2 linked regions of the Nothobranchius furzeri genome follow. The protein of the gene in region 2 purifies or fractionates together with the protein of the main gene of each other region. This does not show direct contact. Links are inferred from orthologs where the notes say so. Each region holds a gene or a part of one and is shown on either strand. Other genes may lie near its edges.

Evidence for each region. Proteins that work in one complex are often made in the same cells at the same time.
Region 1: the proteins of rnf41 (region 2) and mtcl2 purify together in Homo sapiens (affinity purification with mass spectrometry; 3 studies listed by BioGRID and IntAct, with this or other methods). This does not show direct contact. The link is inferred for Nothobranchius furzeri from reciprocal best matches to the Homo sapiens genes RNF41 and MTCL2.

Annotation. Positions count from the first base shown.
Region 1 is NC_091755.1:34,603,229-34,609,229, forward strand, and holds the start of mtcl2 (microtubule cross-linking factor 2), read left to right. Parts: upstream 1-2,685; 5' UTR 2,686-4,011; coding exon 4,012-4,965; intron 4,966-6,001. UniProt on the Homo sapiens protein: Microtubule-associated factor that enables integration of the centrosomal and Golgi-associated microtubules on the Golgi membrane, supporting directional migration. Preferentially acts on the perinuclear microtubules accumulated around the Golgi.
Region 2 is NC_091755.1:37,148,268-37,154,323, reverse strand, and holds the start of rnf41 (E3 ubiquitin-protein ligase NRDP1), read left to right. Parts: upstream 1-1,997; 5' UTR 1,998-2,122; intron 2,123-2,841; 5' UTR 2,842-2,937; intron 2,938-4,928; 5' UTR 4,929-4,948; coding exon 4,949-5,038; intron 5,039-5,184; coding exon 5,185-5,456; intron 5,457-5,570; coding exon 5,571-5,706; intron 5,707-6,028; coding exon 6,029-6,056. Other genes in the region: uncharacterized protein, read right to left, coding at 1-1,104. UniProt on the Homo sapiens protein: Acts as E3 ubiquitin-protein ligase and regulates the degradation of target proteins. Polyubiquitinates MYD88. Negatively regulates MYD88-dependent production of pro-inflammatory cytokines.

The sequences.
Region 1 (6,001 bases), about 2.5 Mb from region 2:
GGACATGGGAGGAGGAATGGAACAAATGAATACTGGGGGTGGCTTCTGTTCAAGCTCTCAGTGGGACAGAGCGTCCCGCACAAACAAAGACACAATCATACCTCACTCACACACACACACACACACACAAAGAAGTTGATTGATGCTTTGGCATCGGCTTTACTGATAAATTAACAAGCTTGAAAGTTGCCTCTAAACACAAAATTATATCTGATTAAGCAAATCACTTTTATTTATTATGCAAATATTCAAATATGCAGAATTATTTTATTCCTCCTTGTTCCCCATCTGTAGTATTGCAGCTCAACACTAGGTGGAGGTAAAAGACTTCAAATAGATCTCTTATGCAGGTCTAGGTTCACATGCATTTTAAAATTTGATCTGCTAAACAAATATTTTATTTATCTGTACCCTAAAAGCTTCAACTTTGTATTATTTTTTATTTATACTGTTTGAAATTTTATATTATGGCTATATGTCAGTTTCTGTTTACAAGAGTGGTTAAGTATAAAAACATCTAATGAAACTGCCTGCTGGTGAATTTATGTTTTTTAATCAGACAGCTGGCATTCATGATGAAGTTTAGTCTAAATAACAGACTTTCAGCTCCTAATGGGGTTCATCAAAGCTTAGATCATCATTAAATCAACACAGTAGCCCATCTAAAGACTTTCAGTCCTTTAGTTCTGTTCTGTACTGCACAAGCTTATGGGAGAAAGCACAATCAGCAGTTTGGGTCTGATGTTTATGCTACTATAGCCTTCAGGGAAGGAGAGCAAGGTGAAACATTTTTTTCAAGACACAACAGGCCACACGAGGACAACAATTTCCCCCTCCGGTTCTCACGGGGAACAAAACATGAAGAGCAGAGATTTGTAACACTTTTGGTATTCTTACAGAGATTTAGTTAAATTTAACAGTTATAATAAAACTTGTGGTAACTAAATTGTAAGAGCTCATAACAGTTTGGGGCAGCAGAAGCTCTGGAGGTAGCAGGACTGATCCCACCTCCCACCAGTGTACTCTGCTGTTGTGACACATCATCACCCAACCTGCCTGTGTTTGTGGTGGTCAGAGGGTCCGGTGGGTCCGATCGCTCCACGGTGGCTGTGGTACAGCTTACCATCACTGGAAGTGTGTGAATGTGTGTATGAATAATGGAAAATGCTTTGAGTGCTGAAGTGCGCTAAGTAAGTAAGTAAAAGTTTATTTATAGAGCGCCTTTCACAGATATAAATCACAAAGCGCTGTACAACATGATAAAGATCAGGGCAAATACCTCTAACCAATAAAAACATCCAAAAAACAATAGCAGTGATAAAGTAGAAAATAAAATCATGAGAATAAACAAAGTGAAGGTGAACCCGAACAAAGCCATCTTTTTGAAACATTTAGGGAGGGAACGCCTGGATGAAAAGGTGAGTTTTTAGATGATTTTTAAAGATCTCTACAGTGTTAGAGAGACGGAGATTTGAAGGTAGACTGTTCCAAAGTCTGGGGGCAATAGACTGAAAGGCCCTGTCCCCTTTGGTTTTTAGTCTGGTCCGAGGAACAGCCAGGAGGTTTTCAGATGTGGATCGGAGGTTCCGAGAGGTGGTGTGTGGGGATAAAAGCTCAGATAGGTAGGAGCCTGGTTGTTAAGAGCTCTATAGGTCAGGACTAAAACTTTAAACTGTATTCTATATTCTACCGGGAGCCAGTGGAGGGACTGTAAAACTTGAGTGATGTGAGCTCGTCTGCTGGATTTGGTTAGGAGTCTGGCTGCTGCATTTTGGATGGCTTGAAGGCGTGAGAGGGAGGTTTTGCTGAGACCAGTAAAAAGAGCGTTACAAATAAATAAATCTAATCCATTATTATTTTTACAATTAATTCTAATAGAAGGCCTGATGTAGGCAGGCAGAAAAAAGCAGCACTGCTGATGTGTCTATCTCAGCTTTATAACCACCTCCACATGCTGCAGCGACTGACTTCCAATTACTGGACTCTGGGTAACTTGCAAAGACAGCAACTTTATGTTGTTTTTTTTTTTTTTTTGGAAGAGGAAAGTAGAACAGACAGTATCACACTTCATTACCCAGACGGAACGTCAAAGTGAGGCTCGTCAGAGTATTCCTCACCCATAATTAGTGAAATATGCTCACTGTGTGCAGATTAGCTGGTTGGGTGCTTCTTTCTGGATTTAAATTGAGAAATTTGTCAAGAGTGGGGTGAAATAAGGTCTCAAGGTGCCATCGGCTTGTTTACTCACTTCCGTCCTGATTTTGAAGCTTTAGAGCAGGATCCTAAAATTGTGTTTAACAGCCAATTGCAGAATCCAATCATCTGTTTGATCGAGGGCTTTGAGCAGGTTTAGGGTTCGCATTGCAAGAATTGGTCAGTTCTCATTAGCCTGTTGGTCAATGGTAATGATTAAGTGATCAAAAACTGAATTATCAGGAGGAAATGTGTGTATTCTGGCTAACAAAGCTATATTCTGATTGAAAGTGGCTTCAGTAGATAGACGCCAACCTGAAGACAACAAAAGCAACAGAGAAGCTGTGAAATGGGGTACATTCTGTCCCATGTCAGTTGTTTGATCTCAATGCAATCAGGCTAAATGTTGATGCTCTAAACTGCTGAGCTTGATGCGTTCTGGAAGCCTAGTGCATGAAAAATATATCTGAAGTGTACATTTAGCAGAACGATGCAATACTACATTTCTGGGACTGGGACGCATCCAAAACAACAGGCATTGTGGCTGGTGGAAAATGGTCCAATACGCTTTAAGGGTGTTAGGGTAAAGCCCGAGTCATGCTTCTCCGTCAGCTCCAAAAGGGAGAGACACGCACGCACGGATGGAGACGTTTTGCCCTCATACTTCGCCATCTCCTGGGGAGTGTTGCAAAGCAATTCCCTGCCAGGACAACAGAGGGCATATCGCTGTTCTGTGGTATCCTGTCATGTGTTGGTCCAAGATAGTGTGTTTATATTGTGTTTTTTTTAATATAAGAGGCTTTTTAACATGGACAAATTTGTCTCTCATTCTCCTCCACCTCTTCATGGGCTCGCCACCTCTAAACCCACGTTTCCTGTCATTTCCGTCCACAAATTAAACGCCTGCTGCGTATCTTTTCACTCCTCCAGTCATGGGGGAATTAAACGCTCATATTTTTAATGTTTTTTCGCGAGGTATTCTTCAATCTTCTCGGTGTCTGCCGCTAGTTATCCTCGGCTCTCTTTATATTTTTGAGGGCGCAATGGCGCGGTGGTGTAAACGACAGCGGTGCCCTGACCAATCACAAGCTTGCATTCTCCATCTCGACTGACCGATCTCTCCAGCAAGCCTGCAAGGACGGATTAATGGTGTTGCGTGTCTCCACACTGATGCAGACGCATGACTCAGGCTTTAGACGACATTAATGCATTCTTTGGAAAGGTTTGCCAGCCCGATCTCTGTTTATCCACACTGAGGCCCTTCAAAGAGCCATCTACAACAGCTGAAACACTCATTGTCTACATTTTCATACACTTCAACAGATCTGATCTGTTGCCTCCAAAACCATCTTGTTTACAGGCACTTTTATTTGAATGGCTAATCTAATAATGAGGAGAGAAAACGAGCTTGTTTACTTCGCAGTGGTGGCGATAGAGAGCTCCAGTTTCGTCCATCCCATTATTATCTGGGGGAGGGAGGAGGAGAGAGACAGTGATCACACTGCTTCCCTGTTCTCACCCACCAACTCTCGGAGCAGGAACCGGTTCTCTTCACTGGCAAAGAATCTCTAAAGGGGAGGAGGGGAAGACAACAAAGTGGTGTCGTTTCTAAACGTGTTTATCTTTGGATGATCATTTGCGTTTTTGCAGATTCTGGATCCTGCCCTTTCCGACTCCTCCTGTCGTGCTGCAGCTCTGTGAGGAGTGAATCTCCTTTGTGTTGCTCTGCAGTTGTTTTATTTCTCTTCAACTTCTGCCTCCTGTTTCAGCGAACAGAGAGGGTTTGTTTCCGCCTCTCTGTCGCTCTAAACGGAATGAATGACAAAAACAAAGGAGGTTGATGTCCATAACTCTGCGACTCACTTCTTCGCCTCGCCCAAACAACGGAGACTCCATCTCCGGCAGAAGATGGAAAGCGGAGGCGGGACGGAGAGCTCGGACAGCGGCCAGGCGCAGCACGCGGTGCCCGGTCAGCCGCCCCGGTCCGAGGCTCCCGGGCTTCCCGCTCCGAAGACTGGCGAGAAGAAAAAGAGTAACCGTGCGCCATCCCCGGCTAGACCGAAGGACGTGCCCGGCTGGTCGTTTACAAAGATCCGCGGAGGGATTGGGACCCCGACCCTGAGCGTCAAGCCCGGAGCCATCCATCTGGGTAGCCGCGTTTCCAGACGCAGCCCGGTGGGGAGCCTCGCTGGGATGGAAGGAAAAGCGGAGAAATGTGGTGGTAAAACGGGAGGCAAGTCATCTCTCTCCGGCGGAAGCGTGTCCAAGTCCCCGGCATCCAAGACGGCTAAAAGCACCAGCGCGCGGAGAAAGGTGTCGGACGCCAGCACTGGATCCGATGATTTATCCAAGGACTCCGGATGCGCCGCCGGGAAGCTCTCCCCGACCGACAGCAGCTCCGAGTTGTCGGACTGCGCCTCCGAGGAGAACAAGCTGTCGGCGGATGCTGGGAGCAGCGACGCCGAGTCCAGGAGCAGCCGCGGCCCGGACGGAGAGAAGCCGCTCGGGGACAGAGCTGCTTCACAAGCCGCTACCAAGACCACCTGCTCCGCCGCAGAGAGACACGATAAGAACCGACCTAATCCGGGCATCGACACCGCTGAGGGGAGCACTTCACCCGGCGAGGAGCGCTCGGTGACCTCGTTTGACAGCAGGGTGCCCGCCAGCACATCCCTGGCGTTCTCAGACCTCACGGAGGAGTTTACGGACGGCATGTATGAGGAGTACCTCAGGGAGATAGAGGAGCTCAGGTCTGAGAATGATTACCTCAAAGTAAGTCTTTCATTTGGTATCACCTGTGAGGAACCGCAGCTGTTTATTATTGGTGCCAGCTCAGTGGCGTCTGCGTCAAAACGCGATGTCAGCACAAAGACCTGTTTCTGTCTTTGACCTGTGCTCCAAACAACTGAAGAAAAATATAATTCATTTTTCTCGTAAGATTCGATATTTCATCCATTTGTCTTTATTTTTTCCCACATTTTTCAATAATTTATCACTGCAACATATTTGTATTTTGTCATGTTATGGTTATGTTATGGTTCATCCAATTAACACATTGGAATTCCCCAATTTGCAACTGAAATAAGTAAAAATAAGCAAATTATAAACAAAGCCCAATAGACAAAACTATTACTGATTATAAAAGTTAGAGAACCTCTGATATTTTGCTGTTAATAGAACATCAAGCATAAAGAGCTAAAAAATATGTGGACTTATCACATCCAATATCCAATTAATGCATTTCTGTTAAAGTTCAAGGTATTTTTCCCCCCTTTTCAAATTTTTAGAGCTAATTCAGACTAGCAAACACACTCCTAGCCTCAGAAAAACAAAGAAAACAGCTTGTTATATTTTCAATTGAGAAAATCTTTACATTTCATTCTTTCTCTTCAACGCAGTGGGACCATCATCAGTTTCTGACATAGAAAGTGTTTCATGTCCCTCAGTTTGGCAGCAAGGGGTGAAATGAAATCTAGATGAATCCATTGGTCAAGCTTACAGTCAGACGGATTGATTAAGGAAGGACTCAATAAGGAGCATGTCCTGAAGCACTTGCTGTCATTGGCCAGACAAGCCAGTAATTGTCACAGATTGATTAGGAGAGAGACTGATGAGCTGTGAACAGAATATTGTGATTGTTCCTCCTCATCATTTGGTTTTTAAGCTGCAATTTCTCTAATGTGTGTTTCTTCATTCTTGTCCGACCTATTAAACGAAAGGAATAAAAATGACAAAGTATTTCCTCTTGCCACCTATAGAGGGGTGAAGACTGAATATAGGACCTCACTTAGAGCTACCTTTTGGAGCA
Region 2 (6,056 bases):
GACCCCTCTGCTGTCGATCAAGGTTACCACAGCCTCTCCTCTCCGTTCAGCCACTCCTCTGCTCCGGGTTCCGTCTGCCAGCTCGATGTAATGCGACCTCGGCTCGAAGTCCTCGTCGAACCTCCTGAACCTCTCTGGATCCGTGATAATGTGGGACGTTGCTCCTGTGTCCACCATCAGATTCCTGGTTCTGGTTTCGTCCATCTCGCCGTCAGCGTCTTGTAGTCGGAATGCGTATTCCTTTCCCTCGTAGTCATCAGCAGCTTTCCGTGCTTCATCATCTCTGTGTTTCTTTCTGCACACTTCAGTCTGGTGCGTGGTGGTCTTGCAATGCCTACACCACTTTTTGCGGTCACATACATTAGCTTTGTGTCCCTTTTTACCGCATTTAAAACAAATAAAGTCTTTACTATCAGCGCTCCGCTCGTGCATGCTTGGTTGAACATATTTCGGCTTCAGGTGCTTGACCCTCTCATTCATCCGTGCTGCCATCACATTGTCCTCTGTGGCAGTGTCCACACGCAGTTTTTCAGTTTCTTCATAACTTCTCAGTTTACTTTTAAATTCTGAAAAAGTCATGTCATCATCACTTTGTGTCACATGGATTCTAAAAGGCGTAAATGAGTCAGGTAGACCTTTTAAAACCATTGCTATTAGCAGTCCATCGCTCAAAGTTTCACCTGCGGTTCTCAGCGCTGTAATGGCGGCCTCGGCTCTCAAAACATAATCCGTTACACTCTCGCCGCTCTTCTGCTGTAATGCAGTCAGTTCTGTATATAAGCTTATTATGCGGGGTTTTCCCTTCCCGGCATAGTGTTCTCTCAAGATAATTAGAGCTTTCCGCCCGTCGTCAGCTGCGTCTCTCATCACCAGTGAAAGGCTCTTATCATCCAGGAATTGTATAAGTTCGGCATATGCCTCTGCGTTCTTTGAATCATATTCCTCATCATCGTCATCGTCTTTCGGTTTTAATATAATGTCTTTCAAACCTTGTAGCCGGAGGTGTCCGAGAAACTTTGTTTCCCACAGTTCATATTTATCCTCGTCTCCGTCAAATACCAGTCTTGACCAGCGGGTACTGGCTTCCACTGTCTTCCGACTCATAGTGTCCGACACACGTCGTAGCTCTCACTCGACTCACCGGACTTGCTGTTGGTCGGTTCTGTGCTCCTCACACGCTAGCAGGATGCTTTCCCAGCTGTCCTGATTAGCTTGGTGCGCAGCGGAAGCGTGCTGGGCCCATAACCTGTTAGCAGAGTTTCGTTTACCCAGCGGTTGGTCCAAGACTCCAAAATGAATCTCCAGGATTAAAAAAAGGAGGAAATAAATCCATAAACAGAGCGTCTGTTTCACGGGCCTTCACTGGTGGTAGCACACACTGATTGCGGCCACTAAAACACCAATGCTCCCTTTTATTGGTCAATTTACGAGGTCAAAGTTTAACTTCCTCTACAGGTACTTTTCAGTATAAAAGCATACATGTATATACACACACACACATTCTTATTTACAAATTTACACAGATGCATAACATAACAGAGCATAACAGAGCACATTAGACTGATGCTTAACAATTATTTCACAAAATTGATCCATTTGAGGCTTTTTTATTGGATGAAATCATAATGGAGGAAATGTATTGTCTGAGCTCTTGAAAACAAACAAACTTTTCAACATGGCATTTAGCTTACATTATTATAATATTAATGTGTTTTTTTAATCTCAATGTCATTTCTGAGGAACCCAAATAACACATTTCTCCATTATAACTTGAAGTCCGGATTAATGTTTATACAATTATTTACCCAAAACTGATTAACAAACAGACAATTAAAAAAAGAATGTACAAAGAAACAGCAGTCCGTTATGAAAGTTTTAACCGGATAAGGACATTTTCGACAGTGTTAGTGATTAACATTGTTTCGGTAAGAGAGACATTTTTCATTATAAAATTCACTTTTGGGATTTCTGCAGTTTTGCGTGATGACGTTTCCCCTCGTGTCGATTGAGACGTAGACTTGTATGACGTAGCACCAAGACGTGATTAGCAAGGGGCTAGTGTTGGTACGACGTCTGAAAACAGCCTGAATTGTGAAAAGGATCTATTTTACTCAATGTCTGAGTAAGTATATCAGTCAGCTGTTATATCTTGAGCAGTGCAGCTGACTGTAAACAGCTATTGGTGTGTGAAGTTGTCTCTAACGGAGGTCAGTCTGGTTAGCTTATAGCTAATGTCCAAAGGAAACCAACGACAGCGTAGCCGCTAGCTGGGCTAGCTAACGTTACATATTCAGAAATCGTGACAGTCAAACTGTGCTGCTGTACTTTGTAAACCATTAAGATATTTTTCTCTTTGACGCATGTTTACGTTATTAAAAATCAAGTTTTTACGATTTAGTTTAAAGTGTTATTATATGCGTGAAGATAACATTGAGAAACCTCGATGCTCAGCTAAGTTTTGTGCTCCTTGCTCTGAAATATGATGGAAACATGTTGATCTCAAAGCTGTTTCTTTTCATTTTTTGGAATCATTCATTTGTTAACCAGGACAGTAGATAAATATGTTTATTGTAAAATCACGTTGAAAAGTCAGCCTGAGGATGTGAATATGTATGAAAATGGCTACGCTCAATTTAAAGTTCAAATTCTTTATCCTCCAAAAAAACTGTCGGTATGGTAAATTTTTTTAGAAAGTACTTAATCTCAGATTTCAGCTAGTTAAACTCATTTGAGTACATTGTGTATACGTGATATGGGATTTAATGTTCTTGCATATGTGGTTTACAATCATCAGACTAAAAGTTTTTTTTTAAATGCAATAATTTTTTCCTTTTTATTCAGGCAGGGTCTGTGTCTTTTTAGGCAGGCAGAGCATTTCTGCCAGATGTGAGGAATCGAGGAGCTGAATGGAAATATTTGAGGCAGTTTGTGTTTGAGGTAAACAAGATGTTCTAACCAGAACTGTAAATTATTATTTTGACAAAATGTCAATCATTTTTTGATAGTAATTATTCATAGATAGTGTAAAAAACCCTTCTCATCTTAGTTTTAGCCAGGTTTGTTTCACAGTACTGGTATTTAGTAGCGTAGCAAGTGTATAAATGTAAATGTAAAAAAACAACCACACACACATATATACAAACAGTGAGCTAAAGAATTAGTTACTGTACTATATTACATTATCTTTCTGAGCACTCCTTTTCTATGGCCGTCTCCAAGTTTAGGTCCTTCACCACCACCCTTACCCATGGTGTCCCACAAGGTTCTCTGCTCTTCCTCCTCTATCTGCTTCCTCTTCAGCACATCCTGAGCTCCTTCAAAGGAATATCCTACCATCTTTATGCAGATGACATCCAACTGTACATCTCCTTTAAGCCCCATGAGATGTCTAAGCTGCAGCTGTTACACACCTGCTTAGACTCTATCAAAACCTGGATGGCTGGGAGCTTTCTTCAGCTGAATGAAGATAAGACTGAGATCCTCATCTGTGCCCCAGACAAGCTGGTTCCCAAAGTCAGAGACTCTCTTGGTCAGCTTGCTTCCCACACCAAACCTTCTGTCAGGAATCTTGGCGTGACCTTTGACCCAGCTCTCACCCTGGATTCTCATGTCATTTCTCTTGTTTGCTCTTCCTTCTTCCATCTCAGGAACGTTGCTAAGCTGAGTCCCATTCTGTCCCGCTCTGAACTTGAGACAGTTCTCCACTCCTTCATCTCCTCATGCTTAGACTACTGTAACTCTCTTTTCACGTGTCTGAGCAGAACCTCCCTGAACCGTCTACAGGTGGTTCGGAATGCCTGTGCTCGGCTTCTGACCAAGTCCTCCAAACACACCCACATCACTCCGCTTCTCCTCCAGCTTCACTGGCTGCCAGTCAACTTCAGGGTTCATTTCAAGATCCTGGTTCTGGTCTATAGGGCCTTACATGGACAAGCACCATCTTACATTGGTGATCTTCTTAGTCCCTACACCCCCAGCAGGTCCCTGAGGTCCGGTGATCAAAGCCTACTGGTTGTGCAGCACCAGACTAAAGACCAAAGGTGACAGATCATTTGCTGCTGTGGCCCCCAGACTCTGGAACTCTCTCCCCCTGAGCCTGAGATCAGTGGACTCAGTGGTCTCCTTTAAAAAGCAGCTGAAGACTCACCTGTTCAAGCTGGCTTTTGTATGACCTTCTTCACCTCTCTCTTTTTGTTCTGCTCTCCCCACCTATTCCACCTTCCTCAGGATCCACTGATTTCCCTCTTTCCTGTTCACTCTCTCTCTTTCTTAACATTTTTTAATTACAATTGCCCATTTTTTTTGCTCATTTAAAATATATTTTTAACCATTTTCTAAATTCTTTTTTATATTTTTTCATTTTTTGTTTTTGTGAAGCGCCTCGTGATTTTTATCTTGAGAAGCGCTATCGAAATGATATTTTCTTCCTCTTCATAATAAACAACATGATGAAACATGTCACCTTCTTGTGTTGAAATCTGTGTAAAATACTTTCGGTTTGGGGGGGGGGGGTGAGATTAAATAATTCAGCATCTCAGAAGCCCTTTTACAATACACACCGCCTTAATCTTATAAAAAGGACACGATTGCACCACATTACCGCCACAGTCTGACCACTTATGAACAACCTAAGGCTCCCTGATGCTGCCACGGCATTGCGGCAAATTAATGGCATTGTTTTGTAAAAATGGCTAGAGTGATAATAGAAACATTTGCTCATCAGGTTGCAGTACAAGCATTGCCAAGTATCTCCATTTCTGCTTTCTGAAAGGCATCTGGGTCATCCATTACAATACGATTTGGGACAATCACATTCCTCCTTTACATTATTTTGTTGACAAAGAAATTTTTAATTACATTAAAACAGCTAATATACCTACTATGTGTAGGTGGTTTATATTTAATCTTTTTTAAATTGTGTTGTTCAGGAGGTTGTAGGTTGTGTACCATGGGGTACGACGTTACGAGGTTCCAGGGTGAGGTAGATGAAGACCTGCTGTGTCCAATATGTAGTGGAGTGCTTGAAGAACCAGTCCAGGTAAGTCAACCACATGTATAAATAATAAAATCTGCTCGTGTTCAGATCGTTATATAGTTTGGTCCCAAGTATGAAATCTGTTCTACCAAAGTTTGTTGTTGCACATCCTAATTATACTTTTTTTTTTGGGTTTGTTTTAATTTTAGGCTCCACATTGTGAACATGCATTCTGTAACGCCTGTATAACACAGTGGTTTGCCCAGCAGCAGATTTGTCCTGTTGACCGCACAGTGGTCACTCTTGCTCACCTCCGGCCTGTGCCCCGTATCATGCGCAACATGCTGTCCAAACTTCAAATCAGCTGTGACAATGCAAGCTTTGGCTGTACGGCTACACTGAGACTGGACCAGCTGCAGTCCCACCTCAAGGACTGTGAGCACAACCCCAAAAGGCCCGTCAACTGCGAGGCGGGGTGTGGGTAGGTAGCATCTGTTGTTGGGTATCGGCTAGACCACTAGAGAACATTAGAAAAATATCTAGTTTATTTGTCTTCATTAAAAATATTTTCTTCTATTTTGTTTTAACATTTCAGGCTTGAGATGCCCAAAGATGAGCAGTCCAACCATAACTGCATAAAACACTTACGAAGCGTCGTCCAACAGCAGCAAACAAAGATTTCAGAGCTGGAGAAAACCGTGGCAGAACACAAACACCAGTTGGGAGAACAAGTAAATTATTTGTGTTTGTGTGTGTGCGTGTGTGTGTGTTTAACAGTTGGATGGTGCACTTTTGGAGTTAGCCCAATTCATTCTAGCGCCACATGGAATTAGCATGAGCGAAAACACAAAATTGGCTGTTAATCAGCCATTTTTAGAGATTAAGCTAAAGTTTTAGTTTTTATTAGTTCAAACTATTCCTTATCACATACCAAAAGTGCTTCACTAATTGTGCAAAATCTGTCCTTAAAACTTTGCCTTTAACTCTTTGTGTCATTCAGCTGTCATTGGGTGCAGACAGTCTCTGATTGACCTTGTGACTCTTCCTCTGCAGAAACGAGATATACAGCTGCTAAAAGCCT